Linked DNA regions of Notamacropus eugenii. The protein of the gene in region 1 interacts with the protein of each later gene in a pairwise test. Links are inferred from orthologs where the notes say so. Each region holds a gene or a part of one and is shown in the gene's direction. Other genes may lie near its edges.

What was found.
Region 2: the proteins of UBQLN1 (region 1) and SERPINI2 interact in binary tests that used the Homo sapiens proteins (3 or more experiments, as listed by UniProt). The link is inferred for Notamacropus eugenii from reciprocal best matches to the Homo sapiens genes UBQLN1 and SERPINI2.
Region 3: the proteins of UBQLN1 (region 1) and ENTREP1 interact in a two-hybrid assay, tested with the Homo sapiens proteins (2 studies listed by BioGRID and IntAct). The link is inferred for Notamacropus eugenii from reciprocal best matches to the Homo sapiens genes UBQLN1 and ENTREP1.
Region 4: the proteins of UBQLN1 (region 1) and TXNDC12 interact in binary tests that used the Homo sapiens proteins (3 or more experiments, as listed by UniProt). The two-hybrid records come from large-scale screens. The link is inferred for Notamacropus eugenii from reciprocal best matches to the Homo sapiens genes UBQLN1 and TXNDC12.

Annotation. Positions count from the first base shown.
Region 1 is NC_092872.1:74,443,196-74,451,057, reverse strand, and holds the start of UBQLN1 (ubiquilin-1), read left to right. Parts: upstream 1-4,250; 5' UTR 4,251-4,569; coding exon 4,570-4,725; intron 4,726-7,862. UniProt on the Homo sapiens protein: Plays an important role in the regulation of different protein degradation mechanisms and pathways including ubiquitin-proteasome system (UPS), autophagy and endoplasmic reticulum-associated protein degradation (ERAD) pathway.
Region 2 is NC_092877.1:357,003,921-357,012,163, forward strand, and holds the start of SERPINI2 (serpin I2), read left to right. Parts: upstream 1-4,990; 5' UTR 4,991-5,308; coding exon 5,309-5,576; intron 5,577-8,243.
Region 3 is NC_092872.1:102,679,630-102,688,010, forward strand, and holds the start of ENTREP1 (endosomal transmembrane epsin interactor 1), read left to right. Parts: upstream 1-5,149; 5' UTR 5,150-6,267; coding exon 6,268-6,687; intron 6,688-8,381. UniProt on the Homo sapiens protein: Functions as an activator of the E3 ubiquitin protein ligase ITCH in the ubiquitination of the CXCL12-activated CXCR4 receptor. Thereby, triggers CXCR4 endocytosis and desensitization, negatively regulating the CXCL12/CXCR4 signaling pathway.
Region 4 is NC_092873.1:512,180,804-512,188,558, reverse strand, and holds the start of TXNDC12 (thioredoxin domain-containing protein 12), read left to right. Parts: upstream 1-4,390; 5' UTR 4,391-4,503; coding exon 4,504-4,621; intron 4,622-7,755. UniProt on the Homo sapiens protein: Protein-disulfide reductase of the endoplasmic reticulum that promotes disulfide bond formation in client proteins through its thiol-disulfide oxidase activity.

The DNA of each region.
Region 1 (7,862 bases):
TCTGAGGTGAGATTTAAACTCAGGTTTTTCTGATTCCAAGCACAGCATTCCACCCATTACACCCTGTTCATTGCCTGTACATAATCTTCTATTATGTAATTTCAAACCATTTCCCAGAATGACTGGACAAATTCACAGCTCCACCTAATAGTGCTTATCTTTCCATAGCTCCAACACTGACTATTCCCATCTTTTTCTATATTCTTGTAACAGCAAGCACCTTGACATCCAGGATAACAGGCTGGTACAGATTCTCAGATCTGCTTTTCTAAAAGGAAAACAACTTTTAAGGGGTCAGCAATCACTTTAATTAAACACATATATCATTCACTTAGTTTAGGGGAAACAGTCAGCACCCTGAACTTCAGAGAAAATACAAACAGAAATTACAAACAGAGAAGATGGCAAAGACCAGCAGACAGGGTTTCCAACTGTCTGACCATAGGTCATACATACAGTACAGATCAACAGACAGATCCAAGTGTCTGACCATTCCACACATGCATAGCTACCAGAGAATCAAGCACCAACATCTGGATTTTTAAAACTGAGGTCTCCTTAGGGGCTTCTCAGAGTCTCATCTGGCCTAATCACAGGAACATTCTTCCAGTGATTGAGCCCCAAAGCTAAACCTCATTTCAGTCGCTGTGCATCAGTGCCTCATTACCAAAAGGTGTGGTGGGCCTGCATACAAAACAAGCCTCCTTCAATAGCCCCACCTGCTATTAATTATCAGGGAAGATTTTTTTTTTAACTCCCATCACAGTTCTGTGGATTCTCATTTCAACATTCACAGATGAATCTTAAGTTCCAAAGCAAATCTTCAACTCTACCTTTAGGGCCATACACACTGAGGAATCGAGTTATTCTCTAATACCTAGCCCCTCACTGGTGTGTTTCCCCCTAAGAACCTGAGAATCCCTTAGTCAGCCAGCCTTAAGTAGCTTTTAGAAAAGTGGTATTTACTAAATTTATTAAGGTGATACACTAAAAATAGTTGGTACAAACACCTCCCCAAAACTATGACACACTCTCCCACAAGTACATACAGAGTCCAGAATAAAGTGAGGTCAGTCTCAGAAAGCATATATGGCAAAGAGTAACTCAGAATTTGATGGCTACAAGTTTTTCCCCTTTTTTCTAGGGTGGTCAAGAAGTTCCCCTTAAGCATCCCCCAAGCATCTGTCTCAGGTTTCTAATGCAGATGCAGCTAGGACACCTAAGGGAAAACGAGAGGTCCAAAATCCTCTGAATCTTTTGAAGCACACAAGCTCCTCCTCTGGTCAAAATCTGGGGGGATTTCTAACACTAGAGTCAAGCCTTCTTCCCTCTTTCCCATAACAGGATCTTTTCCATGGGTTTTAATTAAATGTCATGTTTGCTTGTGAGCTTCAGAACTTATCTCTTCTCAACTAGCTGGCTAAAATATACAGACAACCTCTAGGGTGTGGCCCAGATTCCTCAGCCTATCCAAATAACAATTCTTGTGCCATCTCATTTCAGTTTAGAGGCCTTTTCAGGCTTAGGCTAAAGGTCTAGGACTGAACGTGATTGGATTGGGTTTTGTCATTTACTTAAAGTTGGGTGAGGTTGGGTCAATAAATCATCCCACCCTTACATTTGGCAATTTGCTGGATGAGCTGAAATCTCAAATTTGTTTTGTGTTTCTTATTAGGGATTTGGAGCAATCTTTCATATAGTTGTAAATAGTCTTAGCTAGTCTTCAGAATTGTGTTCCTATCCTTTGACCATATATCAGTTGGGCAATGGCTTTTGGTGTTCCATATTTCAATGAGTTGTCGGTAACGTTGGATATCCAGACCTTTAGAGATAATTGATGAAATTGATGAAAAGATTTTTTTCTAATTGAAAACTTTTCTTATGCTAGTTGGGTTAGTCAAATTAATTCAGTAAATGTTTCATAAGTGCCTACTAAGTGTCAGGCACTGTACTAATCTATGGGAATACCAATGAGAAAAAGAAAGGCAAATGCTCGGTATAAGGACCTTGCAATTCAATATATACACAACAGGAAGGTGGAAGGGATGTGTGGGTGGGTGTGTGTATCTTGTTCCTTTAAGGTGAAATCAAGTAGATTTATAGCTCTATAGATTTATAGACCTTGAAATGCACCATCCAGCCTGCAATCCTGGTTCCAAGGTCACCACGGCTAGAACTCTTGGTATTGTGGGGATTACCCCTTGACACAAAACCAGGGACAACACAGAATACAAACACCTCCCCCTCTCCCCATCCCCTTTCTCGGAACAGGGATAAAAGAGAGGGAGAAGTAAGACAGTCCTTCTCTTATCAAGTCAGTTAATGACTTGTGAGCAGCAGACAAGGGTTGCCAAAAGGGAAGTAGCAGAGAAGAGCATGGCCAAAGAGGCCAAGGCTCAGCAGACTAGGTTTAAGGAAGCAGTCAGTCCATCAAAGGAGGCTACACGCACCCCCATACGGTAGGGGACCCAAAGTGCTCCATGGTAGGCAATCCAGATGTGCTCCAGAGGCCCTTCAGGTCTTTTCTCCATGCCTGGACCAGCCCAGGTTATACTACCTTTTCAGGTATTTCATTCTCCTCTGCACAAATTCCAGCTGCACTAGCCTAGAGCATGTCCTCAGTAATCCTCTCTGTGCTTCCAGACGGTCCTACGTCCCTTCCGCGCCTCTGCCTATTCTTTTTCCTTACGTTTCCACTCAGGTGCCACCTTCTAGAGTTGTCAGAGCTCTTTCTTTTCAAATTCTCTTCCTTTTCCTTCTCTGTATCCCCTGGGAGGAAGGATACGGACTAAAGCATCAGGCCCATCCTAGGGCTTCATGTTTATTGAATACGGTTGGGTCGATCAGAACTGAGGCGTAAGGATGAGTAAGACACGATTCGGTGGCTGGAAAGCAGAAATCACATTATTGATCACTCGATATCCTCCTAACACCAGAAGGCAGGAGCTCAGCTGAAAACCAGCGAGCCCGAGCTGCCGTCCCTGGCCTCCAAGGCCAGCGCTGGGGTCCTCTCGTTCTCCCGGGGGCAGCTCACGTCGTAGAGGGCATTCCCCTGGCAGTGCCCCTTCAGCACCTCCAGCACCGACGTGCAGGGGAGGACGTGGAGCCCGCTCGGGCTTTTTTCTTATTCTGGTGACAAAGTTTGGGCATTCTCATATGGGCCGCTCCTAAAAGTGAAGGAATGGTTTGTTTGCAAATAGTAAAAAAAAATTGTCAAGCTGTTAAACGGCCAACTACGGATTCCCAGAAAATAAAAACCCATTATAAGTTTACTCAGCTATTTTAACATCCGTCCTTCACTGACCCACAAAATGGCCATTCGGACATTCACCCGTCCTCGGCAGCAGAGGAGCGGGAGGAGGCCGCCACCTTCTCGCCGAACGGAACGAAGCCGGCAGCGGCCTGGCGCGCTCCGAGCGGGCCCCCGGCCACCTCAGCCCAGCCCCGGGGAAGCGGCCGGAAGGAGGCTGCGGGCTGCGGCCTGGACGGGGCCGAGCGGGGGCGCTCTTTAACACAAGGGGTCCGATCGGCTGGACCAACCGCGCGGAGGGACAAGAGCCCGGGCAGGGCGGCGGCGTCAGAGCGGCCCGAGGGCGTCGCGGGCATCTTCGGGGACCTCTCTGCCCCCGGCGCTGGGGGGGGGCAGACGCGTTAAAGCGCATTTGCACACCCCCCCGGGCCTCCGTAGAGGCGTCCTTCTTGTGACGTCGCAAGCAGACGGGGACACAAACCACCGCTCGCTTCTTCGGTTAGGCCTAGGTGAAGAAGCGTTGGGACGGTGGGGAAGGAAGAGGGACGGGGTAGGAGAGGAGACGTAACGCGGAGGTGTGCGAGGTTAGGGGCACCGGGGGCAAAGACCGCGGAGCAAGCATTCGCGCAGGCGCACGCCAGCCCGCCCCGCCTCCTGGACGAGTCCCCTTTCTAGTAACTTCCCCGGCCCGTGATGTCATCTCCGTGCGACGCCACGGCGGCTGGCATTTTCATTCTTTACGCTTGCTCATCTGAAGAGAAAAGCACACACACACAGGCAAAAACAGACCCCAGGGCTCTCCCCGTGCCCGGGGAAGTTACTAGAAACGTCTTAGCTCCGGCGGTGGAGGGTTTGTGTGTCTAGCAGCCTAGGGAAGACGGGAAGGGGAGGCAGGCCAGCGAGAGGATGGAAACTAAAAGCCCGTGACGGCCCACAGTGACTCGGCGACGCCGGCTTCGTTTCCCAGCGTGCCTCGCGCGGCGCCGCCGAGGGCAGAGGGGAGGAGGGAAAGAGGGGAGGGAGGGGGCGGGGGATGAGGAAGCGGCGGCGACGGCGGCGGGTGTCGCGCAGCGAGTGAGTGTGTAAGCGGGATCGGAGGACCGAGCGGTGGCCGCAGCAGCAGCAGCAGCCGCCAAGGGCCGGGCCTGCGCCAGCGCCCCCACAGCGCCTCACCCCGCGGGGGGGGCTTCCTACCGCTGCCCCCTCCCCCCTTCGTCGTCGTCCCTCCCCTCCCCCCACCCCCCTCAGCCTCCGGGCCCGGCCGCCGCCGCCGCCGCCGCAGCGAGGCCTCGCTCCTCGCCTGAGTCACCGCCGCCGCCATGGCCGAGAGCGGCGAGAGCAGCGGCCCCTCGGGCCCCGCTGCAGCAGATGGTGCCGCGACCCCCTCAGGCGACCCCAAGATCATCAAAGTCACTGTGAAGACCCCGAAGGAGAAGGAGGAGTTTGCGGTGCCAGAGACCAGCTCTGTCCAGCAGGTGAGGCCCCCTCCCCGGGCCTGTAACCTCCGCCTCCCGGCCCGCCGACACGCACGCCCGCGGGGGAGCCGGGGCGGCTCGGTCGAGGGCCGGACTGGACGCGGGAGAACGCCCGAGTCGGGCGGGCTTGGGGTGGGGGCCCCGGCCTGGGCGGGATGGGGACGGCGCCGGGGGCGGCCTCGGTCTCCAGGCCCGGGGCCGAGCCTCGGGGCCGGGTGGAGGGGATGGCCCCGGAGCGCCCGCCCGCGGGCCTCCCCCGTCCTCGGGTAGTTCCGACCGGCGTGGAGGGGAGGGTGTCGCGGCCGGTCCCCGGCCGTTCCCTTCACAAAGGACTCGGCCGGACCGGCTCGGGGCGGGGGCGGAGGTCCGCCTGGGCTCCGGCTCCCCGGGGCAGCTGCCTGGCAGAAAAGTTTCATTGTTCGGGATGACTGTTGAGCCGACAGGGTTAAGGGAGGCTTAGGGTGAGGAACACGTGTGCAGTTGTGCCTTTTGACTGCTGGAATAGCTTCCACCCCTCGGAACAGCTTTTTTCTTGGTTCGGTGACGTAGAAATTGCACCCGGCCAAATTGGAGGAATAACTCCTACCCGGCTGTTGGAGAAAAGTGAAGCATTTTCTTTCACCGGTGTTTTGTTTTTTAAAATCATTCTTTGAGCTCAGGTGCTGATCCGAGGGATGACGGGTTTTTATTAGGTAGTATTTAGAGGTAGGAATTCCGTATAAACTGATTAGGATTGGCTAAGCGATTTAAAATCTGATTTCCGCTGTATCTTGGTGCTACGAATAACCGGAGTTGTTTGGGCCCCACCTATGTAGTACCTGATCGCTGCTTAATAAAACTAGAACTAGCAGAACAACCCAAACCTTGACTTGAATTTTGGTGTGGAGCTCCAAAGAGCTGGAGGCCGTCCACCGGGAGGCGTTAGGAGCCCATCAGCAGGGGTTTGTCAGGGGTGGATTCACATCTCCCGACTGGGTTCTTTACTCTGGACGGGACGGAGTGGGTGTAGTGCCAAGTGTGCCGCCTATTGAACCTCCAAATTACAGTGTGAAGCCCCAGGATTCTCTTTTCCAGTTCTCTAGTCTCACTTCACTAAGTTGGATGATTCCTTTCAGCACTCTACTGCAGGGAATCAGGAAGGAACAGTCTTTTAACTACAGTGTAACTTTATAGCTCAAATTATGTAAGCTATAGATGATGTTTTTGACATTGAGGCTATGAGGGTCTTTCCTATTTTCAGTGGTAGGCATACGTGAAATTAAAATATTAATCTGGGAACTTTTTTTTATGTTGTAAAACCAGTGTTAGCATAGATGAAAATCCACTGATCTTTGATGGTTGTCAAGAGTACAGATAACATTCCTTTTAAGACTTAAGAATTTTAAATACAATAGAATTCTTTTGAAGGTCAAAATACTGTACAAGTCGATTTTTAATATGCTTCTTCAATGAAACTGGTTGAAATTGCAGAACCGACCCTTTTTTGGTAAAGGTACATGAGAGAAAAATTCACAGCTATTCATTAGAAGAAAGTGTTCTAAGGCCATCTTGAAATAAAATATTTCTTAATCTTGGAGCTTTTACTCTTAATTATTAAAGAACTATGCCCTCAGGTTGATAAAAATTCAACTTCATTTTTTTATAAAACAGTTCTTCCTTTTTATCTGTTGCACTCTAGGAGGCAGTGTAGTATAGTTGGAGTACTGCATTTGGAATCTAAAGACCTGGGTTCCAGTTCTTGTTCAGTCCTAGAAATATGCATGTTCACCTGGAATGTTTTCTTCTGTACATAGCCATTATTAATGGTACCCATATGTATTAGGCAGTTTAATTATTGGAGTAAAATAAATATTATCAAAGGCATTGTTTGGCATACCTCAAATTGTTAGGATGACAATTGCACCAAAGTGGAAACAGCTGTTTGCCACAGGTTCTTCTATCCGTTTTTTGTTTTTGTTTTTGACATTAGGGAGACAATCCAAAAATGAGATTAAGAAAGAAGTTAGGATCATTGCAATTCAGCAAATATTTATTAACCACCTACAAATTTACAAGGCAGCTGGGGATTCAAAGACAAATAAGACACTTCTCTTTCCCACAAGGAGCTTACATCTAGTAGAAAAGGTAAGACAGGGACACAAATAACTGATACAAATTATCATGTGATATGTTCATGGGAGAGGGACAAAAAGTGCAATTACAAATCTGAGAATGGAGAGAGACGATATCTTAAAGTTTCTAGGTTAGGCATGGTATTTTGGGTGTTGTCTCCTATACTTCAGTTTTTATCCTGAAATTTTCTTGCCTTGGGGTGGGAAAAAGCCCCCAGAGAAGGGACCTTTAAAGCTAATACGTTTTATTAAGTAAATAAGATTATATATAACTTAAAAATTGCTTGGCATTAGTGGTTCTACATAATATTCTTTAATTTGTTTAATAATTTATTTTGTATTTATAAAATAGTGTCATGTCTAAGTCTGCCCTTTTCCTTTATTTAAAAGTGAGCAAAGGGCAGAAACTATTTCACTTTCTATGTGAGCCTTTCTCTTGGATAGAGTGAGTACTTACTGCTGTGTTTTGGTGATGGTATTTTTTTGTGTACTTAATGTGTACATAATTAAGGTGGATGTTAATTTGCACTAAATGTATTTTTCAGTGGGTCTCACAGAATCCGAAGTGGTTAGCTGTTTAAATGTCAGTTCTCAGTAAACAATAGTTAATGTTTAAATTCAACAAACTTTAGGATATTTTGAGTGCTGTGCAAAGATAAATTTAATAAGATAAATCTTGTCAATTTTTTGAGTATTAACTGGAACGCTTTGGGAGATAAAGTAGTTTCAGAAAAATCTTTCATCCTAATTCTTAGTACACAGTACATTGCACATGGTAGGTGTTTGATAAATATTTGTTGTAGAAAGTATCTTGCAAAAATATGTTGATAAATTTTCTTGCTTTAGTAAAAATTGACAATATGTTTTAAGTCATGAGGTCACAGATATACAGCTGGAAAGCACTTAAAAGACCATTTCCTCATTTTATAGGTGAGGAAACTGAAGTCTAGGGAGATTAAATGACTTGCCCAAGGTCTCACAGATAGTAAGTTTCCTGGTTGGAATTCAGACTTGTTCTTTGACTCT
Region 2 (8,243 bases), on another chromosome or scaffold:
CCCTATAGTGCCATGGTTTAGGTGAATCTCCACTGATTGCTTGTGACAGTGGAGCATGTAGAGGAAGGCCAGAGCAGCTCAATCAGTGTCCTGAGTTGTGACAACTCTGCCATACTTGCGCTAGTCTCTTTGCTTCTGTTATAGGCTAGGGAGAGCAGACATTGCCATTCCTAAGTCAGTGTGGTATTTCATAAGACCTGCTACAGGTCCTCACAGTAGCTAGATGGCACAGCAGATAGAGTCCTGGACCTGGAGTCAGGAAGACTCATCTTCCTGAGTTCAAATCTGGCCTCAGACAGTTGCTAGTTATGTGACCCTAGACAAGTCACTTAATCCTGTCTGCCCCAGATTCCTCATCAGTAAAATGAACTGGAGAAGGAAATGGCAAACCACTCTAGTATCTCTGCCAAGAAAACCCCCAAATAAGGCTATGAAGAATTGGACATGACTGAAAAATGACTAAACAACGAGTATAATATATATATATATATATATAATATGAATAATATATTATAATATAATATAATGCAAGGGCAGATAATATTTCACTGTTATTTTTATGCCTTCAGTGCTTGCACATAGTAGGAATTTAATCAAGTAAATGTCCTTGATATCTGTTTTTTGCTCTGTGCTGCTTAATCTTGGATTCTAAGTCTTGGCTGGAAGCAACCTAGTCCAACATTCTTATTTACAGATGAGAAGACCAAGGGCCAGAGAGTCTAAGTGATTTTCCCAAAGTTACATAAGTGGTAAATACCAGAGGCAGGATCTGAACTACGGTCCTCTGTCTCCAGGGTCAGTGTTCTTTTCATCCTCCCACACTGTTTCCTTAATATCCTCATCAGCGATTTGGACAACGCATGTTTACCATGCTTATAAAATTGGAAGATGATACAGTCAGTCACCAAGCATTTACGAAGCACCTACTATGTCCTAAGCACTGTACTAAGTGCTAGGGCTACACAGAGAGGAAAGAGAAAACCACCATCCTTGCCCACAAGGATCTCACGGTCTAATAGTGGAGATCACATGCAAATAACTATACATACATACTAGATATGTACATTACACATAGAAGGTCATCTCAGAGGGAAAATAGGAGAAGAAATAGTGAGAAGTAAAAAGCATCCTGCAGAAGATGGGGTTTGAAGTGAGTCTTAAAGAAAGTCAAGGAAGCCAAGAGGTAGAAACGAGAGAAGAGAGAATTACAGGCATGGGAGCAGTCAGTGAAAAGACAAGGAGTGAGGAGAAGACAGAGCATCCTGTGAGAGTAACAGAAGCAAAAGAATAAAGGGTAAAGAAACAGTTAAGAGGTAGAGATGATATGTCAGGTGACAGAGACAGGGTCTCAAAAGACCTGTATGGAAAAGAAGGTTGTACTGTATCTAATAACAAGAGATTTAATAAAGATGGACTTAAAGCTGTATATCTTAATTAAAATTAATAACTACAATACAATGGATCTGTGGTGAGATAATAGCTTACCTGAAAAATGGCTAGGTGTGTTAGTGAACAAATGAATGGATTAGAAAAAAACACATTTAGATGGTTACTATGTGCAAGAGCCTAGTGACTAGCAAGTTTGCGATGGATCTATAGTATAATACGACCATTTGAAAGTTAAGGTGGCAAAGTTCTCAAGGACATTGTCCACACTCACTGTTGACAGTACCCATAGTCCAGCTACCCTGACTTCTATAATGTGATAGAGATTCTTTTCTTTTAAATACAGTCATACTATATAACTGCATTCCCTTTTAGACTTGGTTCTACTTGATTACTTTTGATTACTTTTGATTTGATTACTTTTCTCATGAGTGTCATTAAATATTGATGATGGCATCCAAGTGGAATGTGTTAAATTCTCATGTGGAACCACAGGAATAAGCTACTAGTTCAATTCAGAACCAACTGCATGGTCTTCCAAATTCAATTTCCAGTCATGCCATAATTTAAACAGAATGAAGAATAATGGTAACGTTTGTTCAATGGATTCTGAGCGGTTCATTTTTTTGTGCCATTCCTTTTATTACTCATTGAAATGATTTTCTCTATCAGTTCTTCCACCTCTTAAGGGCAATCAGTTAATGTTATCATTTAGTGCTCTCATAACAGAATTCTTGAACACCTGCTGTGAGTTTGGAAAAATTAATCAAGTAACCTTCATGATAAATGTACTTGCCCTTGCCCTTCTACAGAGCCAGGCTCTTAACAGTTCCCAGGAAGCTCATTCTAAGCATAACATCCAGTAACTAACCATCGGACATTTTTAAAAGTAAGTATGTTGATCTCACACCTGAAACTCCTTTAGTGTAACATATGGGTGTGATAGGACCCCATATGATGATTCGGCAGAATTGAAAAATGTTGGAATTCCTGAGGGTATAGGAAGTATGATTGAAGTTTTAACAATTAAGGGATTACTTTATCATCTTAATGGATTTCACTATGGAAATTAGATAGCAAATTTGGATTCAAAGTTGTTGAATCAAGACCTTTCACCAAATTGTACAGCATGAAAGTACAGACCTACTCAGCTGTCACCACTCCAGGGGTAAGTGAAAATGTTTCTAGAAGGGGATAATTTTCTGATGCCTAGAAATGTCTGATAGAGGAATAGTAAAGAGTCCTGTACTTGGAGTCAGCAGACCTGGGTTCACATCTTGCTTCAAGAACTTACTAGTCTTGTGACTAGTCTTAACTTCTTATTTCCTTAGTCCATCAGCTATGAAATGGTAGGGTTGAACTCCATAGCATATAAGGTCTTTTCTAATTATAAATCTGATTTCCAATGTCTTATCTTTTCCCCCAATTTTGTGGGACATTTTTTATTTAAAATTTTAGTTCCAAATTCTATCCCTCCCTCCCTCTTCTTTCCCTTCACTGGGATGGTAAGCAATAAGATATGTTATAAGTATGCAATCATGTAAAATATTTCTGTATTAGTCATTTTATATAAGAAGACCCCAATAAAAGGGGAAAAATGAAAGAAAGACAGTGAATAATTGCACAATTCAGTCTGTATTCAATTAATATCAGTTCTTTCTCTGTAAGCAGATAGTACACTTCATCATTAGTTCTTTGGGATTGTCTTTGCTGAGAACAGCTGAGTCATTCATAGTTCTTCACTGAGCCACATTGCTATTGCAGTGTGCAACGTTCTCCTGGTTCTCTTTACTTCATTATATCTATTCATGTAAGTTTTTCCAGCTTTTCTGAAATCATTCTGCTTTTCATTTTTTACAGCACAATAATGTTCCATTACAATCATATACCACAGCTTGTTTACTCATTCCCCAATTGATAGGTATCCTTTTAATTTCCAATTCTTAGTCACCACAAGAGCTGTTATAAATATTTTTATACACATAGGTCATTTCCCCCATTTTTTTTTATTTCTTTAGGATATACACCTAGCAGTGGCATTGCAGAATCAAAGGGTATTATAGCACTTTGGGCATAGTTCCAAATTGTTCTCCAGAAGAGCTGGATTAGTTCACAACTCCACAAATAGTGCATTAATGTCCCAGTTTTCCCATATCCCCTCCAACATCCAACATTTTCCCTTTTTGTCATATTAGTTGCTCTGATAGGCATGAGGTGGTACCTAAAAGTTGTTTTAATTTGCATTTCTCTGATAAATAGTTATTTAGAACATTTTCTCATATGACTATAGATAGATAGCTTTGATTTCTTTGTCTGAAAACTTCCTGTTCATATGTTTTGACTATCAATTGGGAACAGTGTCTTAGCTTGTAATGAGCATCATATTTATACAAATTATGTTTGTTAGGGTTAATGATATCATGTATTTTATATTTGCTTATATTGTTTCTCCCCAAAGAGTGTGAGTTCCTTGAAAATGGGGATTATTTCTATTGTGTCTTGTAGGTCCAGTGCCTGGCAAAGGACTTAGCACACAGTAGAAGCTTAATAAATGCTTGTGGCTTGATTTTCAGATTATGGTACAAGCAACATAAAACATGTTACACACTTGAAAAATATTGTTTGTAATTCTAATTTGTACTTGGATGCAAAATAGATCCCTAATGGGGTTGATATTAGATGAATTACAAGCATTTGTATCATTTTTAGCTATTTGCATAATAGCAAGCAGATGTTTTGTTCAGAAACCTCACAAAAAACCTTCTTTCTCAGTATGTCAGGACAGATTTGTTCACAGAAAATGTTGCATGTGAAACTTCTCTGGCCAATTTGATTTTCTCATTAAGACAGTAACATCCACAACCATATGTATCAATTTATTCCTTAATAAAATATTTGTTTGGTGCTTTAGAATATTCTCTCATTTTCTTAACAAAATTTCTTTCAATATGCTCTTGAGATATCTCTTTCCTATCATGAGATATTGATCACCAAAACAAAGGGATTTTCAAATGAGTATATAAAACATATTCTGGATAATCCAAACAATGGTTGCACCTGGATTAGTTTTTTTTAAAGAATTTGACTTCTAATATTGCAACTATCTGTACATATAAAACTGTATTATTCCAATGAACTATATAACTGCAACTCTGTAATGTCAGCAGTAGCTAGAATCCATTCAAATTGTGTCCATTTGAGATCATTTTTCTTCTCAGGCCATAACACATAAGACTAATTCAAATTAGGGAACTCTAGTGACTTTGATATTAAAATTCTAGAAAAGCATCTCACAAATGTGGTGAAGGATGAGAAGGGATCATTCTGAATGAACAGAATTCCTGACAAAATTCCAGAACCATGGCCCCTTGGGAAAAACTACATTGAAAAATGACCAATAAATCTACCAGTAATTTCTAATGTACTCAGTCACCAGGCACCTCTCTAGGTAAGTTACAGATGAGTGGCTGATCTTCCTCAAAAGTACCCTGCACTCATGAAGTCAGAAGTTGAGACTTTCAATCCAATCTAATCTAATAAACATTTATCAAGCCCCTATTATTTCCAGGCACTGTACTGAGGCTGCAGATACAAAGGAGGAGACCCCTCACACAAAAAAGCAGGAGAATGGAGAGTGGGTATCTGGTGCAGGGGCTTCTTGTGAAGGAGTTCAAACCAGGCAGAGTAGCAGATGCAAGAAACATTTTAAAAATAGTGACAAGGAAAACAAGATTAAATCCACCAGTCCTGTTCCTCCTAAAAATAAAGATGTATGATGAGAAAACCCCAAATTACAGGGACTCTGTTGGCTCTACATCACTATCTTGTCCATTGGGAATGGAAGGTTCTTCTTGATAATTAAATTCAGTGACTTTTTGGTATTTTGTTGTCCACTTAATTTTGATTCTCCCAATGCACAGGCATGATTATGACTCAGACCAGGTTTTGGAGATTCTTACTGACCGTTTGTGGACCGTTCCTCATCCGGATTCACAGTTCCAGTCTTTTGGCGGACAGCAATGATAGGTTTGCTCTGGACCTTTATCAAACCATCTGTTCATCTTATGAGGAGAATATTATATTTTCCCCAGTTGGTGCAAGATTGGTTTTGGGAATGGTACAGATGGGGGCTAAAGGAAAAGCCCAGCACCAGATAAGAAGAGCTCTGAGACTTCAAGAAGATTCAGTTGGTGAGATTTCCTTAGGGAGAATCATGTTCTATTTTCTCTGTGGCAGATCTGCCAACTCAAGTATGAGGTATCCAAAAATAGTGACATAAAAGGTTTTGGGGCTCTCTAGAGAGTGTGCAAGAGTGGAAAGACCCTTGTTTTGAAGACAAAGGGTCTGGGTTTATATCCTGACTGACATTGGAGCCTGTTTGACTTTAGGCATATCAGTTCAGGTTTCAGATCCTTAATTTTTAAAGGAAGCAGCAAGACTCTGTGTTATCTAAGGTCCCTGAGAGAAGAATTTTTTTTTAAAAGAGAAATCCAGCATTCATATACTATGAGCCTGTGACTAGAAATGGCAAAGATACAAAAATATAGATTTGCTTGGGACCTTTATCAAACTGTCCATTTATCTCAGGAGGAGAAGATTATGGTTTCCCCACTCAGTGCAAAAGTGGTTTGGGGAATGATACAGGTGTGTGTGTGTGTGTGTGTGTGTGTGTGTGTGTGTGTGTGTGTGTGTGTGTAAGGAGCAAAGGCAAAGAGGGAAAGATACACAGAACCAGAGAGAAGATAGGATCTAGAGCTAGGAGTGCCTCATTGAGTCCAACTCGCTCACTTTACAGATAAAGAAACTGAGGTCCTCAGAGGTTCTGAAAGGATCAGTCCAATGTTCCTACAGGTGAGGCAGTAGGTGTCAGAGTCATGATTCAAACCCAAGTCGTTCTGTTCCACAATCACTACATTTCCTCTCCCCTGCTGCTGCTGAGAAGCCTTGTTTCCTAGAAAATCAAATAAATAGGCTTTCATTTCTTAGAATGAGATTCATACAATAACATTCCATTAAAGTCTTTATTAAATACAGGTCATTTATCTGCAAATTAAATTAAGTCTATAAAGCTGATTATGAAGACACACATATACATACAAATGCAACTTCTGTTAGATGGTGACATTTTCCTACTGACTTCCAAGAACTGTGATTTATCAAAGGGCTGCTGACTGTCACATGTTCTTAAGGCCTAAGTACATGACATAAATCCATTCGTTCAGACAAATGATTATGAATTGCATTTTTTTCTTTTTCAGAAAAGCTACTGAATTGCAAAATGTCAGGAAATCAGTTTCAAACTCTGCCAAATGCCTTTTGAGTCTTAATTAATTCTTTGGAAATATTCTGCCACTCCTCCCCCACCCAGCAAGTCTTAAGGCTAATCTCTAGAGTTTCAAAGAGGGAAAGTAAAGTCTTCCATGTCCTGTGTTAGTCTGGTCACACCAGTCCTTTAAATAGCCCAGAAGCAATTCCTGAAACCAGCCAAGTGAAACAAAAGATGATGATTAACTTCCTAATGGAAGGAAGGTTGAGAAGGAAGTGCTGCAATTCATCAGGAAATGGGAATGATTTTTCCCCAAAGTGGAGTCAGAGCTGGAAGGGATTTTTTTTCTCATCTGTAGAATGTGTCTAAGAGTATTTGCCCTTTGTATTTTGAGAGTTTATTACTCAGTATGAAATGAAATCTAAAAATATATGTTTTGTTTTTCTAAATTGTTGCATCAGTGAAAGCTACTTGTAGCAACACTCATCATGACTCTGGATTTTATACTCTAGAAAGGAGTTATGATATAGTTGGCCAGCACCAATCCAGTCTACTGAAAAAGAAAGCTTGTCAAGAAGACAAGTTCAAACTCTTCCTCAGGCACTGATTTAGCTGAGTGACCCTGAGCAAGTCACTAGACTTTTCTCAGCCTCAATTTCCTTATATATAAAATGGGGCTGATATCAGCTACATCACAGAGTTGTTATGAGGATCAAATGAGATAACATATACAAAGGACTTTACAGACATCTAAGTACAGTATAAATACTAATTGTGGTCACTATTTAATTGTTAGTGTCTCCTTTTCTGTCTCCTCGTTGAGTGTGCACCTGATTATCCTTCAAGTCTTTCTTCTGGGACCTCTTCTCTTTCCTCTTTACATTACCTTGCTCGGTGATCTCATAGGTCCTGTATATTCAATTCTCATCTCTATACAAATGATTCTCAGATCTATTTATCCAGCCATAACCTTTCTCTTGACTTCCATTCTAGAATCTCCAATTGCCTATTAGACATTTTGAACTAGGTATCCTATAGGCAATTGGAGAGTGTTGACTTACTGATTTTACCTTACAACATCTCTTCTACACATCCTCTTCTCTCTTCTCACACTACCACCATGTTGGTAAAAACCCTAATTACCTCATGCCAAGACTATTCCAATAGCCTAATGGTTAGCCTACCTCAAGTCTCTCTCCATTTCCCTTTCTCCTCCACTCAGCCGTCCAAGTGAGCTTTGCAAAGCACAGGTAGTTGGACCATGTTAACAACCTTCAATTAAATGAACTCCAGTGGCTCCCTCTTGACTCTAGAATCAAATACAAAATCTGATTTTGGTTTTTAAATTCCTTTGTAGCCAGGCTTCTTCCTACATTTCCAATCTACTTACATCTAACTCCCCACCACAAGTTTATTACTGTTATTCAATCATTTTGGTCGTGTGCCTCTCTTTGTGACCCCATTTGGAGTTTACTTGGCACAGATACTGGAATCATTCGCCATTTTCTTCTCCAGATCATTTTGTAGATGAGAAAACTGAGACAAACTGGATAAAGTGACTTGCCAAGCTAGTAAGTGTCTGAAGCCAGAG
Region 3 (8,381 bases), about 28 Mb from region 1:
TGACAACGTATGCACCTTCTACTCTTGGATTTGCCACATCTGTGCCTTGAGGAGGGAAATATTTCCTTATCTGTTTTCCAGGACTAAGGCTGACTACTCACTTCTTAAAGTAATGAAACTTGCCTTCCACAAGAGCCTGGGCATATAAGCTTTTGACCTGGATACTGCTAGATACCATGTTGTACATAAAGACTTGCTTGAATTATTTATGGATATGATAATCTATTAAGATATTCTTCATTCAAAAGGTCCAGCATATCAAGGGAACTAATGAAAAGAAATGCTAGGAAAGGTGGCCTGGCTCTACCAGATCTCAAATTATATTATAAAGCAGCAATTATCAAAACCACTTAGTATTGGCTAAGAAACAGAAGGGTAGACCAGTGGAACAGATTGGGTACTCAAGACACAGTAGTCAATTAATATAGCAATCTACTGTTTGATAAACCCAAGGACCCCAGCTTCTGGGATAAAAACTTGCTGTTCAACCAAAATTTCTGGGAAATCTGGATAACAGTGTGTCAGAAACTAGGCATAGACTAATACCTGACATCATGCACAAGAATAAAGTCAAATGGGTACATGATCTAGGTATAAAGATTGACACTATAAACAAATTAGTAGAGCAAGGAATAATGTATTTGTCAGATTTATGGAGAAGGGAAGAATTTTTTACTGAACAAGAGATAGAAAGCATTATGAAGTGCAAAATGGATAACTCTGATTATATTAAACTGAAAAGTTTTTGCACAACCAAATCCAGTGCAGCCGAGATTAGGAGGGAAGCAGAAAACTGAAAAAGAATTTTTGCAACTAGTATCTGTGATAAAGGCCTCATTTCTAAAATATATAGAGAACTATATATATTCTAATATGTATAGAGAACTGAGTCAAATGTACAAGAATACAAGTTATTCCCCAATTGATAAATGGTCAAAGAATATGAACAGACAGTTTTCAGAGGAAGAAATTAAAGCTGTCTATAGTCATATGAAAAATGCTCTAAATCACTTTTGATTAGAGAGATGAAAATCAAAATAACTCTGAGGTACCACATCACACCTATCAGATTGGCTAACATGACAAAACAGGAAGATGATAAATGTTGGAGAAGATATGGGATAGTTGGAATACTAACTCATTGTTAGTAGAGCCGTGAGCTGATCCAACCATTCTGGAAAGCAATTTGAAACTATGCCCAAAGGGCTACAAAAATGTCCATACTCTTTGACCCAGCAATCCTGCTTCCAGGACTGTATCCCCAAGAGATCATAAAAATGAGAAAGGGCCCCATGTGTACCAAAATATTTATAGCAGCTCTCTTTGTGATGGCCAAAAACTGGAAATCAAGAGGACGTTCATCAATTGGGGAATGACTGAACAAAGTGTGGTATATGAATGTAATGGAATACTACTGTTACCAGAAATGATGAACAGGAAGACTTCAGAGAGGCCTGGAAAGATTTATATGAACTGATGCTGAGTGGAAGGAACAGAACCAGGAGAACTTTGTACACAACAACAACCATGGTGTGTAAGGAATCTTTCTGGTGTGTGTGTGTTTGTCCTTCATTTCTGAAGAAGACCACACCATCAGAGAAATAATGACATGACTAGCGCTTTACTTTGTTTTGAGTGAGGGAGGGCTGTGCAGGTCACCAGCCTCACTTCTCCTCTACAGCCATCTGAATCCAGTGACTAGATATTCATCAGGATGACTGGAGATGACCCAGGATGAGACAAGTGGGGTTAAGTGACTTGCCCAAGGTCACACAGGTAGTGAGTGTCAAGTGTCTGAGGTGAGATTTGAATTCAGGTCCTTCTGACTCCTGCACTGGTGCTCTATTCACTGTACCACCTAGCTGCCCCTCTGGTAGGCTTCATACTTCATTGCAATTCAAGAACTTAAATAATTCCCAGTGGTCTCTTAAGGCAAAATACCTTCCACATCCAGGGAAAGAACTATGGAATTTGATCGCAGAATGAAGCAGATCATTTTCTTTTGTATTAAAAAAAAAGATATTCTTCATTGTAGAAGTACATGACTGTCTTTAAGAGGCAATATGCAACAGTGAAAATCAAATAGTGGCTCTGATGTCAGAGGACCCGAGTTCAAAGCCTAATCTCTGAGGTTTAGTAACAGTGAGACCTGGGATAACTCTTTCAGCTTCAATTTTCTGATCTGTAAAATGACGAGGTGGGATGATCCTTAAGGTCCCTCCCAGTTCTAAATCCATCATCCACTAAGGTCACCTATAAAAGAGAATATACAACAGAGCAAATTCAATTAATTAGCCTTCTAGGTAGAAGAGGTTGAAGCCAGTGGTTTAAATGGGGTTCCTGTATTCCAGTGGATTTCAATTATTCTTGATATCTCTTTTTTTAAAAATGGCTAATAGAGCTGTCAGTATAAATTAAATACTATAATTTTCTGAGGGAAAAGCTACATAGAATTAAGGGCATATTCCCTGCTCCCCATGATTTTTATAAGTTAGTGATATAGAGAATTCAAGAACTCAGCATTATCTCTTCTTATCATATATGGATGTATATTTATATACATATATATATATGAATTGCGTGATAAGAAGATAGGCTTATCCTGAACCTGCTTATGTAGCCTTAGACATTTCACTTAACCTTTCAGAGCCTCTGTTTCCTCATCTATAAAATGAGGGAGTTAGATTACATAGTTTCTGAAGTACTTTTCAGCTCTAAATCTATGATCCTATGACAGAGAACTCATGTATTACCTAGCAGCCTTACATGTTCCTAAATTTTAGGTCTTATGACAAAGCAGTCAAGTTATAATGTCATTTCTGTCTCTAAATCTATAAACTATGGCAATCCAAGGCCCTGTTCTGATACACCAGGTATCTCTTTTTTTTTTAGTTGAAAGTGTCCTCAATTCCTATCCTTATTTCTTTTACTTAATTAACTAATTATTACTTTTCAACATTCACTTTTATAAGATTTCGAGTTCAAAATTTCTTCCCTTCTTCCCCTCTTCCTCTCCAAGATGGCATGCGATCTGATATAGGCAATACATACACAATCATATTAAATATATTTCCACATTAGTCACATTGTGAAAAAAGAATCAGAACAAAAGGGAAAAATCACAAGAAAGAAAAAAAGAGAGAAAATAGTATGCCTCAAATTGCATTCAGACTCTATAGTTCTTTCTCTGGATGTGGATAGTATTTTCCATCACGAGTCTTTTGGAATTGTAATTCACTTACAATGTGAATGTAATTGTAATGCAATTGGTCATTGCATTGTTGAGCACAGCTAAGTCTATCAAAACTGGTCATCACACCATGTTGAGGCTAATGTGCACAACATTCTCCTTACACTGGTAATCATAAAAGACCTAGAGTGAAGATTCTACCTTGCTGGGTATATCCTCTCTGCCTCTGACAGAATGTGGTCAGGTTACATCCTGCACCACTGAAGGGAGTACCCAAGAAATAATAACAATGGCTGATGTTTTAGAGAGTTAGTTTTAAGATTTGTGAAGCATCTCTATAAATGAAATTTGGGTCTATAATCTCATTTAATTTTGCATGTATGAGATTAGAGATCCATTGAATTACTGAGTTATTCATTCATCTATTTGCTGGTTTGGTCTTCCCCTTTTATCCTTGATCTTTGTGCAGCAGCTACTTTAAGGCTGGTCTCACAGCTGATTGGCAGAAAAGTTTTGTCCTATTTCATTTCTGACCTCAGCTGGTCAGAAAGATGATCTCTGCCTAGGCAATTTGGTGCCTCCTTACCCCAGGCTGTGGTACCAATTGATACCAATCTTAGTAGGGATACACCATCTGCTTTAGCCCTTGTGTTGCTCAGAATGCCCAAGCTCAAGTGATTCACCAGTTTCAGCTTCCCTAGGAGCAGGGATTATAAGTGTGAGCTATTTAATCTATTCTGAGTCATTCTATATTTCTGTAAATTTAAGTCTTCCAAGAGTAGTTTGTAAAGGAAATGTCTTCCCAAAATTAAAGATATGAAATTTAAAAATAACAAATAAGGCAAAAAATATATTAATGTATACTTCAGAAATTCTACAATTTTGTATGCAAACTCATTGGCAGTAAGTATGTCATATATTTACAGTCATAAATTATGATGAAGTCAATACAATTTCTAGCCATACTTAAATTATAAAAGAAAATGGAAGTTTTATATGAGAAGCAGTTTGGTGGAGTGTAACCATTTGGGTTGGAGGCAGGTTGGAGGGGCTCAGATCTTGGTTCTGATACTTACGCTTATGAATTGTGTGACAGAGACAAGTCAAATTACTTACCCTCTCTGGCTTCAGGCTAGTCTGTAAAATGAGAGGGTTTCATTAGATGACCTCTAAAGTCCCTTTCGGCTTTAAATCCTAGGAATCCATTAAACTGGAGGACACTGAATATCCCCCATCCTAAGATTATCTGCCTTAACACCCAATACGACTTAATTGCAAAATTACACTGCCTTTGCTTCTATCCACCATAAAATCTCATTAAAATCTCCTTAGATTTAGTAGCATTTTCGCAGCATTAAAGTTTCTCCTCATTGTATGTTATTGGGGTAAATCATTTATCAAGGACAAGTCATATTTAAAAGCAAATGTGAAGGTGTCTGGCAAATATTCAAATGAACTCAAGAGCATAGATTGGAATTTTCATTTGTTTTGGTTTTCCCTGGGAAGGTTAAGAATCTCTCTTGTATCTATCTACCAAAGAATGATTAATTTGGAGTAGGGAGTGTCAGGGGAGGTAGAGGGATGTAGCATTCATTATGCACTCAGTCCCTCCAGACACTAGGAAATTCCTTTCTTGATATTGACTGCTGGAGGTGGAGAACAGACAAACAGGAAAACCTGTATCTCTGGCCTCTCTCAAATACCTGGATGGGACGGCCCAATCCTTAGGCTTCTCCCATCCCCGGTAATGGGAGTTGTTCCGAAAGAACTTCACTGTGGAATATCTCATTTCAAGATCTTCCTCCTTGCAGCCCCTCCCTTGCAGTTCTGTACTGCAGTATCAGCATCCAGAAGCCCCGAGCAAGGCTGGGTGTGGGAACTGAACTCGCGACCTCTCATCCCGGAGGTAAGCGATAAACTCACCCAACCCCTTACTTCCTGATGCTTTATTTCGGTGGCTGACTGATCCTGGGTACAACTGTTTGCTCCTATCTAGAAGCCCTGGGGCCCTCTCTGTCTTTTCCCAGTTCTCCCCACCCATTCTCCCACGTGGAAACAGGAACCCCTCAAACAGGTTAAAGAAACGATGCCAAGTGACATCCTGCGCAGCTGGTTTTGTCATCTAGGCAGAGAACATCAACAAGTGGAGATTGGAGAGCGACCCTGCCTGCTCAGGTCTCCCTCTTCTTCCCGGCTCTGAGCCCAGCAGTTCGGGGACTTCCTCAGCCCAAAGGATTTCCTAGAAACGCAAGGACTCTGAGACGCAGACTGGTGGCCGGGAAGCTAGAGCTGACTGTGAGGTCATCCTTAGACCGCCCTACTCCAGCGAGACACCGGTTCGGAGGTAGAGACGCGGCTGGGACCCAGATCGGCTCCCGCTTGGCACTTGCAGAGCGGCGGCGGCCAAGCAAACCCAGTCTCCCTTCTTTTCCTCGCCTTACCCCTCACCGCTCGCTCTCTCCCAGGATCTCCCCCGCCCCTCTAGAGGGGCCGGCAGCCAAGACCCGCCACGCAATCCAACTGCTCCCGTGGCCGTCCCTGCCACCGCAGGAGGAGTTATTTTAAAACTTCAAGCTCAGAGCCTTCCTCCCCGCCCGCTCGCCTAAGGGGGACGCCGGCCGTGAGAGGCTGGCTCACCCCCTTGGGCTGTAACTGAGCAGCGGGGACAGCGCGCCAGTGCCCGTGCACTTGACCGTGGGCGGCGGCAGCACCAAGTATTTCGGCGTCGGTGTGGGGGAGGGAGGAGACGGTCCGGGGCGGCAGGTGGTTTGGGTGGGTCCGGCGGCCCCAGCAGCAGCAGCCCGGCGGGAGCCCCGGGTAAAGAAGAGCCAGCCGGGCTAGGAAGACCGGCGCGCGTCAGGGCTCCGAGTCCGCCTGAGCCCCGGCCGCAGGAGCCAGGTCACCATCGCCCTCTTCCTCGGTGGCTCGGACAGCTCCTTCGCCCCCGCCCCTTGCCCCGCTCTGGGTGGTGCTCGCGGCCGCCGCCGCCGCCTCCTCCTCCTCTTCCTCCAGCTCCGGGGCCCCTCCACCCAGCAGGGATCCAGCCCCTGCCCTTCAGCGTCCCACCTTCCGCACCTATGTCTCTGCCCGTGGTGCTCCCGGGCTCCTGCTGCCCGGTGGCAGGACTCTCCGCAGGGACTCCGGCTGGCGGTCCGGGCGCCGCGGCCGCCGCCGCCCAGGAGCCTCCGCTGGCCCCGCTCCGGCCCCGCTGGTCGCGGGCAGGGCTGCCGCCCCCGGCGCGGCCTCGCGGGGCGGCTGCCTCGGCCGCCTCCGTGCTGTCGCCGCCGCAGCCCCCGCTGTCCGCCCGCCGGGCCGCCGCCGCCGCGGCCGCCGCCGGGGTCCCGGGCTCCGGACTGCTGCCCGCCCGCCCGCTGCTGTCCCTGGGGCTCCTACAGCTCATCTTGGGCTGCTGCATGGTGGCGCTCAGCTTCGGGGCGCTGTCTCTGAGCAGTTCCCCGCAGGTGAAGAACTCCTGCCCGTTTTGGGCTGGCTCCTCGGTAAGTCTGTGTCTGCCTCCGAGCCTGGACAGCCCAAGGTGAGGGGGCTGCATGAGGGGGACGAGGAAGTTCAGACGTGTCTCCTAGTTCAGGCTCTTCTGCGCCCCTCCTCATTTTCTCTTTGGGGTAGCACTTGGGTTGTGCAATTCTACTGTGGCTCATAGCCCAGAGGTGGCAGCCCTTTATGAATGTACGTACAGGTTGTAACTTCTTTCCCTCTGGGATTTAAAATTTTAATACTTAACTGTCATCTTTCTGGAGTAATGTCTAACAGCTATTTCCAGCAGTTATAAGACAGAGAGGAGCACACTGAGGGAGAAAAAAAGAGAAGTTTCCCACGGAAAATGGGTTATGGATGGTGAGCTTGTCTGGGCTAGAATCCACACTTTTCCTTCACTCCCTGGGTGTATACATGTAATTGTTTTTAAATGTGACATTTGCATAGTATTGCTAGAATGTATTTGAGGAAAGGTTCAAATGTAAGGAGAGACGGTAGGTGTATTTTGTTATTTGGGTTTTTAAGTGCAGAAAAGTTTTAAGTAACTGTGTCATGTTTCTAGAGGTATGTCACACTTGCTTACTATGTGCATAAAGGTTTTGTTGATAGGGAGAAAGCAATTTTAACCTAAAATCAGACACTATTGAATTCTAGAGAACCTAGACCCTGGTGTCTTCGTTAATCAGTAGGCACAACTCCAGCAGACATCTAGAGATGCCTGCTTTCAGTCTCAGGATTCCTGTTTTCCACTGCAGTTGCAATTTGATGCTGCTTGGGTAGTGAATGTGTTCTGCAAAGTGCATGAACCCCTATAAACCTAGTCATAGGATTTCCATACTAGGCCTTTGGGAGTGAGAGAAATAGAGTGATAGGACTGCCTGCTATTTGTGATGTATTCACAGCCCACTTAAGATGCTCTGATGAATCTTGATGAATCCAGGCTAAGCATGGGTTTCCTTACAAAACATCATGAGCCTACAGGTTTCTATGGGTTTTGCCCTGTGGGTTAAGAGCCTTGGAAACAAAGGCTCACATTTCACCAAATGGGTTTTGTGGGAAAGCACAGGGCCATCTACCATGAAGTTTAAAGCAAATTAAGTTTTTTGTGAACTAACTAAAATCCTAATGAACATTTACAGAGTGCACCATTTTTCACATGTTCATGTCTTAAGGCTTGTAAGAATGCACATTATATGTCAAATCTCATGCTTTCCTGTAATACATGTCCCTTAAAAATGCAGTGAAACAATTACACAAAGAAAATAATACATAAGTCAAAAGTAACTTCCCACAATTCAATCTTATGTTTGATTAATACATCAACATCAGAGTTATCAACTGGGCTGCCATTTTAGCCTGAACTTTTCTTTCCTCACTGCTGTAGTCTGATGGTAGATGATTTTATGGATGGTACAGTATGTGCAGTGATCAGGAGGGTAGCTGATAATGTGTATACCCTGCTGTGTGATTGCCATTTTCACCTTCTAAAGACCGAAAGTTGGATTTTTGCTTTGCTCTACATTCTGGTGCCTTTCTTTAGGAGGAAATCTAGTGAATCTGTAATTATTGAATCACAGGCCTGGAGCAGAACGGTACCTCATAGCCCCTATCATCCAACTCCCTCTTCCTTATTTTAAAATTGAAGAAACTGAAGTCAAGGTAGATTAAGTGGGCTTGGCCATGGTCACACAGGAAG
Region 4 (7,755 bases), on another chromosome or scaffold:
GCAGCCAATCGCCGTGCGCGCCCGCTGGAGGGGGGCGGCCGAGCGGTCGCGTCCAATCGGGTGGCCGGGGGCTCGGAGGCGTGCCATGCATACTGGGAACTGAAGTCCCCGGCGGAGTACATTGTGTTCCTCGCTAGGGCGTCTGGGAGCGGGCCGGGAGCGAGTTTTTGTTTGGCATCCCGGACCTTCCCGAGCCCTTATCACGGGACTGGGGAGAGTCTTCCCCCCGCTCCAGCCGCAGCGTGTGCGTGGGGAAGCGGTGGGTCATGTATACACTTGTCGCTGTGCCATCCGGAGGAGGGAATCCGGAGGATGTGAGGCGGTTTAAAAGCACATTCGGCGACCTTTAAATAAATTCGAGAGCGTTTACTAGGAGCCTACTTCCAGGCAGCTCCCGTCCGCTCTGGTCCCAGATTTCCAGCTCCAGCGGTCCTTTATTAGGCGCATAACGAGGTGCCCGCTGCGTGCAGGGACCGTGCTAAGAGCTGGTGCAAAGCAGCGCTTGTCCCCGAGGAGCTCACGCTCTGGGGAAACAGCGTGTGCAACATTGTATTCACGAGCTGTGCAGACTGGCACGCAACGTTCGGACCTTCGTACGGAGGGGCGCTCAGCGTTGCAGAGAAGGGACCCGCGGACGTCTTTTCTAATTTTTTCCTTAGGAGACACACTTTTGTTCCACGTTTTCTGTCGTGTACCACTCTCTGTGACCCCATTTAAGGTTTTCTTGGCAAAGATACTGGAGTGTTTTGCCATTTCCTTCTCCAGCTCATTTTACAGATGAGGAAACTGAGGCAGACAGGTTGAAGTGGCTTACCCAGGGTCACTCAGCTCTAGATCTGAACTCAGGAAGATGATTCTTTTTGACTTCAGATTGGTACTCTATCCACTGCACTACCTAGCTACCTCAGGGACAACCTTAATCATTCTAATGACACAGGTTCAGTAATTTTTTTAAAATCATGTCCGTTTACATTAATGTCATTGTCAGTAACGTTTTCCTGATTCCACCTCCTAAAGCTCAGGTCTGACCATGTCAACCTCCCCACCCCCTTCTCAATAAACTTCACTTTCTATTGCCTCCAGGATCAAATATATAACTGTCTGGCATTTAAAGCTCTCCGTAATCCTAGTTTCCACCTACCAGTGTTCTATCTTCTCCCTGATAGGTACCACAGTGACGTTGGCCTCTGTTGTTCAACAAATAGGACCCTGCATCTCTTAGCGCTGGGCATCTTCTACTGTCTCCCAAGAATGCTCCCTTTCCTCACTTCTGCCTAATGACTTCCTTTAAGTTCCAACTAAAATCGGAAGCCTTTCCCAACCCCTCTTAATTCTAATACTTTCTCTGTTAATTATCTCTTATTTATCTTGTGCGAATGTCTGTTCATAAATACATGTGTGTATATATAAATATATATATTTTGGCCATAGATTGATTTGTATATGTTATCTGCTGGTTGTCTACCCCTCTAGATTGTAAGTTCCTTGAGAGCAAAGACTGTCTTTTGTCTCTTTTTCTATCCCTATCCCTTAGCACAGTGCCTGGCACATAGCAAGCACTTAGTAAATGTTGATTGATTAATCGACTGGTTTCACCTTGCATCAGTTCATAAGTCTTCTCATGTTTCACTGAATTTCTCACCTCAGTCATTCTTAGGTTGCAGTAACAGTCCACCACATTCTTGTACCACAATCTGTTTAGCCATTTCGCAATTGACACAATTCATTCCTTTTACAGAGGAGGAAAATGACACCCAAAAAGCATATGTGCTTATCTAAAGATCATTCACTACTATCTGGAGAACTGACTCATCTCTCCAAGCCCCAGATCTTTAGAACCTTGCCTCTCTGGAGTCCTACTTGGCCATAGAGGCTGCATATTTCTATCTTTGTACCTGAAGGGTAGAATTCTGGACTTTCATTTTCTTTGATGTCATTGCTGACCTCACAAAATTGTCCATTTAGAAAATATTTATTTCCAAAGAATGGGGAAAATGGAGAGGAGAAACTGATCACCTGCTGATCACAAGTGACCTCTAACAAAGAGCCCCAATAATCCAGTTCATCCCCCAAACTCCAAAATACAGCAGATCAATTCAATTCAATAAATATCTACAGAAAAGGAAACCAAGGCTCAGAAAAAGTAAGAAAAATTCCTTACCCTAGGAGGGACAGGTAGAAGTAGCCAGGCTTTGATAAGAACCCAGATCCCCAATCTCCACATTCAGTGGGGTTTTCCATCAGCCCTGATGCTTTTCATGCACTTCCTATCTCTGTGTTATTGGGAGGAAAGGTACTTTGTAAACTCTGGAGTGGGAGCTGTTCTAAGTGTTATCATCCATCCTCCCAGGCAGACTAGATATCCTTGTTAATGTGTATGGGGGTGAGGATGGGGGTGAGGGGGGGGGGCAAAGATTGGCAGAACAATGGACTAAAGACTGATTTAGATTGGGATCCTGGGGAAGACAAAGAGAGACTGAGATCTTCACAGCCACCATCCTGGGAGAAGGTTCATACCTACTGGGGGAAGGAGAATTATTGCTCCAAATCAGTTTGTTCAGTCTCATTGAGTGACTCAAGGAGTCGACCAGAGCCTAGTTTGCAAGTGAAGGAAGGAAGAGGTGGTAAAGGGCAGGCTGGGAGAGGACAGTGTACCACAGCAAGACGAAATGAGCAAACGTATGTTAAAGTGCTGTATGAACAAGAACCCTACTCTTTGTTTCAGCTCCTCGGTGTCTGTTTCCACATCTGCAAAATAAGAATTATAACCATGGCACTTTTCTCACAGAGCTATTGTAAGACCCAAATGAGAAACTGTATGTAAAGTGTATTATAAACCTCCAATTCTGTTGTTGTTTTTGTGGTTCAGTCATTACAGTTGAGTCTGACTTTCTGTGACCCCATTTGGGGTTTTCTTGGCAAAAATACTGGAGTGGTTTGCCATTTCCTTCTCCAGCTCATTTTACAGGTGAGGAAACTGAGGCAAACAGGGTGAAATGACTTGCTCAAGGTCACACAACTAGTAAGTGTCTGAGGCCAAATCTGAATTCAGGAAGTTGAGTCTTCTTGACTCCAGACCTGATGCTGTGCTACCGAGCTGCCCCCATCCCTTATCTAGGGCCTTCCTTGTGCCAATTTGCCTTTGAAGGGAGGCTTCTAACCCAGTAACAAATTGTCCCTTCCACGTTTCAGGAGTTTAAGGTGTAATGGGGGTGATAAGTGGAGGCTGAGGTTTAGAATAGACTAAGTAGATGGGGGTTGGCCTTGGAGTCAAGACCAGGGTTCAAGAACAGCCTGTGACCCATCTTGGTTGCATGACTCTGGACCTATAATATATCCTTGTCAATGGCCCAGGGGACCTTTCCAAGACTATAAGTTATAGGTGATTTGAAGAAGTCCAACCAGCCCTACCATTTCCTCTGACTCAGCCAAAACCATCTTCTTAGCTGGTATGGGTCAGAGCAGGAAGGCATCCCTACTAACCCCAACTCTTCCTTTGACAGAGGAGGAAACTGAGGCCTTGAGGGTGCAAACAGCTTGCTCAATGTCCCAGAGTGGACCAGGAAGATTTCAAAGCTGGTCCTCCATTCCAGAGCAAGCCCTGAAGAATTGGCCCTAGTCAGGCTGATGCGATGCAACTGCAGAAGCCTTAAGAGTTACTCTTTATTTCATTGTCTAGAGTGTCTACAATAATTTAGCACATATATTTGTGGGGGTGTTTTCTCCTCATTAGATTGTAAGCTCCTTGGGGCAGGGATTATCTTTTGCCTCATTTTGCTCTGTTGCTTAGCATGGTGCTGGCACTTTCCCTCCTTTTTTGACTTGGTTTGCCACGTCCTTCTCCAGCTCATTTTGCAGATAAGGCTACTGAGGCAAACGGGGTTAAAGTTGAGTCTTCCTGACTCCAGGCCCCTAATTCTGTAAGCTATGCCTCTCTCCCCCACCCCCAGCTGCCCCAAGCAGGTGCTTAATAAGTGTTTACTGATAGACTGCGCCCCGCCCCCCCCCCGGGGTGTTTCCTGGCTGCATCTCCTCCACCTTACCCAACCCTACCCTACCCTACCAAGACCATACACAGTATACCGTAAACTCCAGGGGGGCAGGGGTTGTCTCCTTTTTCTCTCTGCATACACATCCCGGGCGCTCAATAAGTGGTGGAGGACAGAACTCGGGATACCATAAGCAAGCACGCCCTGGAGGCGCTGAGGTCCGCCCGGCCGGGCTGCACGTGCCAAAGCCCCGCCCCCGGCCCGGCCCCGCCCCCGGCCCGCCCTCCACCTTCCCCAAGCCCCGCCTCAACCACAGCCCCGCCCTACGCCTTCCCCAGGCCCTGCCCCCAGACATCAGCCCCGCCCCCAGGCCCCGGCTTTCTGTGCCTTTAAGACCCCTCCCCCCGGCGCCGCCCACATCCCTCTGACTTCACTTCCTTCGCGGCAGAGGAGTGGAGAGAGACGAGGAGGGGGAAGAGGAAGAGGAGGCAGCCCGCGCCCCCCGCCCCTAGCCATGGGCGCCCCGCTACAGCTCCTGGGCGCCGGCCCCACGCACCTCGCCCTGGGCTGCTGCTACTGCTGCCTGCTGCTCGTCGTCGCCTCTGCCTCCGCGGCGGGAGGGCTCGGAAAGGGTCAGACTGCCTGCACCCCCTGCACCTTCCCCCATGGAGCCCCTCCCGCACCCTCCCCCACCCTGCTGGACCCCCCCGCACCTCCCCCACCCTGCTGGATCCCCCTGCACCCTTCCTACCCTGTAGGAGCCCCCCACACCTCCCCCACCCTGCTGGACCCCCCTGCACTCTTCCCACCCTGCAGGAGCCCAGCTAACCTTCTCCATCCTGCTGGAGCTCCCCTGCACCTCCCCCACCCTGCTGGACCCTCCCCCCGCACCTCCCCCACCCTGCTGGATCCCCCTGCACCCTTCCTACCCTGCAGGAGCCCCCCCGCACCTCCCCCACCCTGCTGGATCCCCCTGCACCCTTCCTACCCTGCAGGAGCCCCCCCGCACCTCCCCCACCCTGCTGGACCCTCCCCCCACACCTCCCCCACCCTGCTGGACCCCCCTGCACTCTTCCCACCCTGCAGGAGCCCAGCTAACCTTCTCCATCCTGCTGGAGCTCCCCTGCACCTCCCCCACCCTGCTGGACCCCCCCCGCACCTCCCCCACCCTGCTGGATCCCCCTGCACCCTTCCTACCCTGCAGGAGCCCCCCCGCACCTCCCCCACCCTGCTGGACCCCCCTGCACCCTTCCTACCCTGCAGGAGCTCCCCCGCACCTCCCCCACGCTGCAGGACCCCCCCCTCGCACCTCCCCCACCCTGCTGGATCCCCCTGCACCCTTCCTACCCTGCAGGAGCCCCCCGCACCTCCCCCACGCTGCAGGACCCCCCCCCCCGCACCTCCCCCACCCTGCTGGACCCCCCTGCACCCTTCCTACCCTGCAGGAGCTCCCCCGCACCTCCCCCACGCTGCAGGACCCCCCCCTCGCACCTCCCCCACCCTGCTGGATCCCCCTGCACCCTTCCTACCCTGCAGGAGCCCCCCGCACCTCCCCCACGCTGCAGGACCCCCCCCCCCGCACCTCCCCCACCCTGCTGGATCCCCCTGCACCCTTCCTACGCTGCAGGAGCCCCCCACACCTCCCCCATGCTGCAGGACCCCCCCCCGCACCTCCCCCACGCTGCAGGACCCCCCCCCCCCGCACCTCCCCCACCCTGCTGGATCCCCCTGCACCCTTCCTACCCTGCAGGAGCCCCCCCGCACCTCCCCCACGCTGCAGGACCCCCCGCACCTCCCCCATCCTGCTGGACCCCCCTGCACCCTTCCTACCCTGCAGGAGCCCCCCCCCCCGCACCTCCCCCACGCTGCAGGACCCCCCCCCCGCACCTCCCCCACCCTGCTGGATCCCCCTGCACCCTTCCTACCCTGCAGGAGCCCCCCACACCTCCCCCACCCTGCTGGACCCCCCTGCACTCTTCCCACCCTGCAGGAGCCCCGCTAACCTTCTCCATCCTGCTGGAGCTCCCCTGCACCTCCCCCCTCCGCTGGAGTCCCCCTGTACTTCCTCCTGGGACCCTGGATCCCCAGGCAGTCCTGAGACTCCCCTCTCCAGATGCTGGAACCCCTGTACCTCTTTCTGCGGTCTTGGACCCTCCTTTTGGCTTCCAGGACTCCCCTTTTGCTGACGTGCCTCTCCTGTACTCCCCTCCCCCCACTGCAGTTCTGGACTACTCCCCCACCCTGTCCAACTCCCAGATTCTCCAGCCCCCCCTCCCCATTTTCCTAACGTCCTCTGGCTTTCTGAACTCCTGCTTTCCTTCTCTTGGGCCCCCTCTGCGCTCCTGGACTTCTCTATGAGCTTCAGGATGTCCTCCGGGCCCCCAGGCACCCCTTGAGCTCCTGGCACCACCCTGTGCTCTGCTCCTCCCCCAGCTTCTGGACTCCCCCTTGAGCTCTTGGGCTGGCCCTCCCCCCTTTCCCCAGGAGGGTTGGACTGAATGGCCTCCAACATTCATGTGACACTTTAAGGTTTGCAAATCAATTTATAGATACCATCCTACTTGTGATACCACCTGACTGTGTGACCCCAGCTAAGTCACTTAACCTCTAAGTGCACTAGGGGCAACTCTCTAAGGTTGTGAATTGCAGAGAAGGTAGCAACCAGCATTGGTAGAGGGACTTTCCTCATCCTGGAGTTCCCTATACTCATTCAATCACAGTTCCAGCTCCTTTTGCCTTTCTTTGTAGCCCTTGTGACTGTATACAGTAAGTACCCAGTAAGTGCTTATGGACAGAGTAACTTCCCAGAGGTGATATTATTATCCCTTTTTTATAGACAAGGAAACTGAGACTGTGAGAAATTTAGGTGCTGTGGGTCTGAATCAGGATTCAAGCCTGGTTCTTTCTGATTCCAAGTCAGCTATTAAACCCCAGAGGGGATGGGACAATTATGTATAAGCTACTTGTAAAAAAAAAACAAACCAAAATACCTTAAATTTGTGGAACTCTGGATACTTTGCCCAGTGGAGTAGTTTCTTCATTTTAACAATAATAGCTGACATTCATTCTGTAGACCCCCACAGGAGTGAACTCCTAAGATTTGGTGGAGGACAGCGTGTTGAGGTCTCAAGTGGATCAAAAGACTTGACTTGAAATCCAGTTTCAGACACTTACTAACTGTGTGACCTGGACAAGTCCCCTAATCTCCGTCTGCCTCAGTTTCATCAACTGCAAAATGGGGATAATATTTGTAAAGCACTTGGCAAACCTTAAAGTGCTACATACATGCTAGCTATTACAATTATTATTGTGAATATAAATCCTTGAAGTACTTTTAATACAACTTTCTCCCCCCCTTCACCTTCAGAGAAATCCTTGGACAGCAGAATGTAGGAGTCCTCATCCATTTTGGCAAGCATGGCCTTTAGTGAAGGTTCTGAGGACATGATTTTTTTAGGTCCCTTTGCCAATGACCTGAGTTAGTTAACCTCTGGGCAGGTGGCTGCTTGGCTAGAAGTTTCTCTGGAGATTGCACGTGGGCATCTCAGCAACTAGGCAAATACTGCTTCCTCCTAGGATTGGCCCTTCTCAGGCCATACTGGCCCCAGTTGGGTCCTGGATCTGTGGCTGCCGAGTGAAAGGGGGAGAGGATCCAAGGTCACTGTTTTCAGAGCTTGAAGGGACTCAGGGACTCATCTAGTGTGGCTCTGTTTGGGGGAGAGAGGTCCATAGCTTTTCTTTGGGGTTTTCAGACAGTTTAGGACAG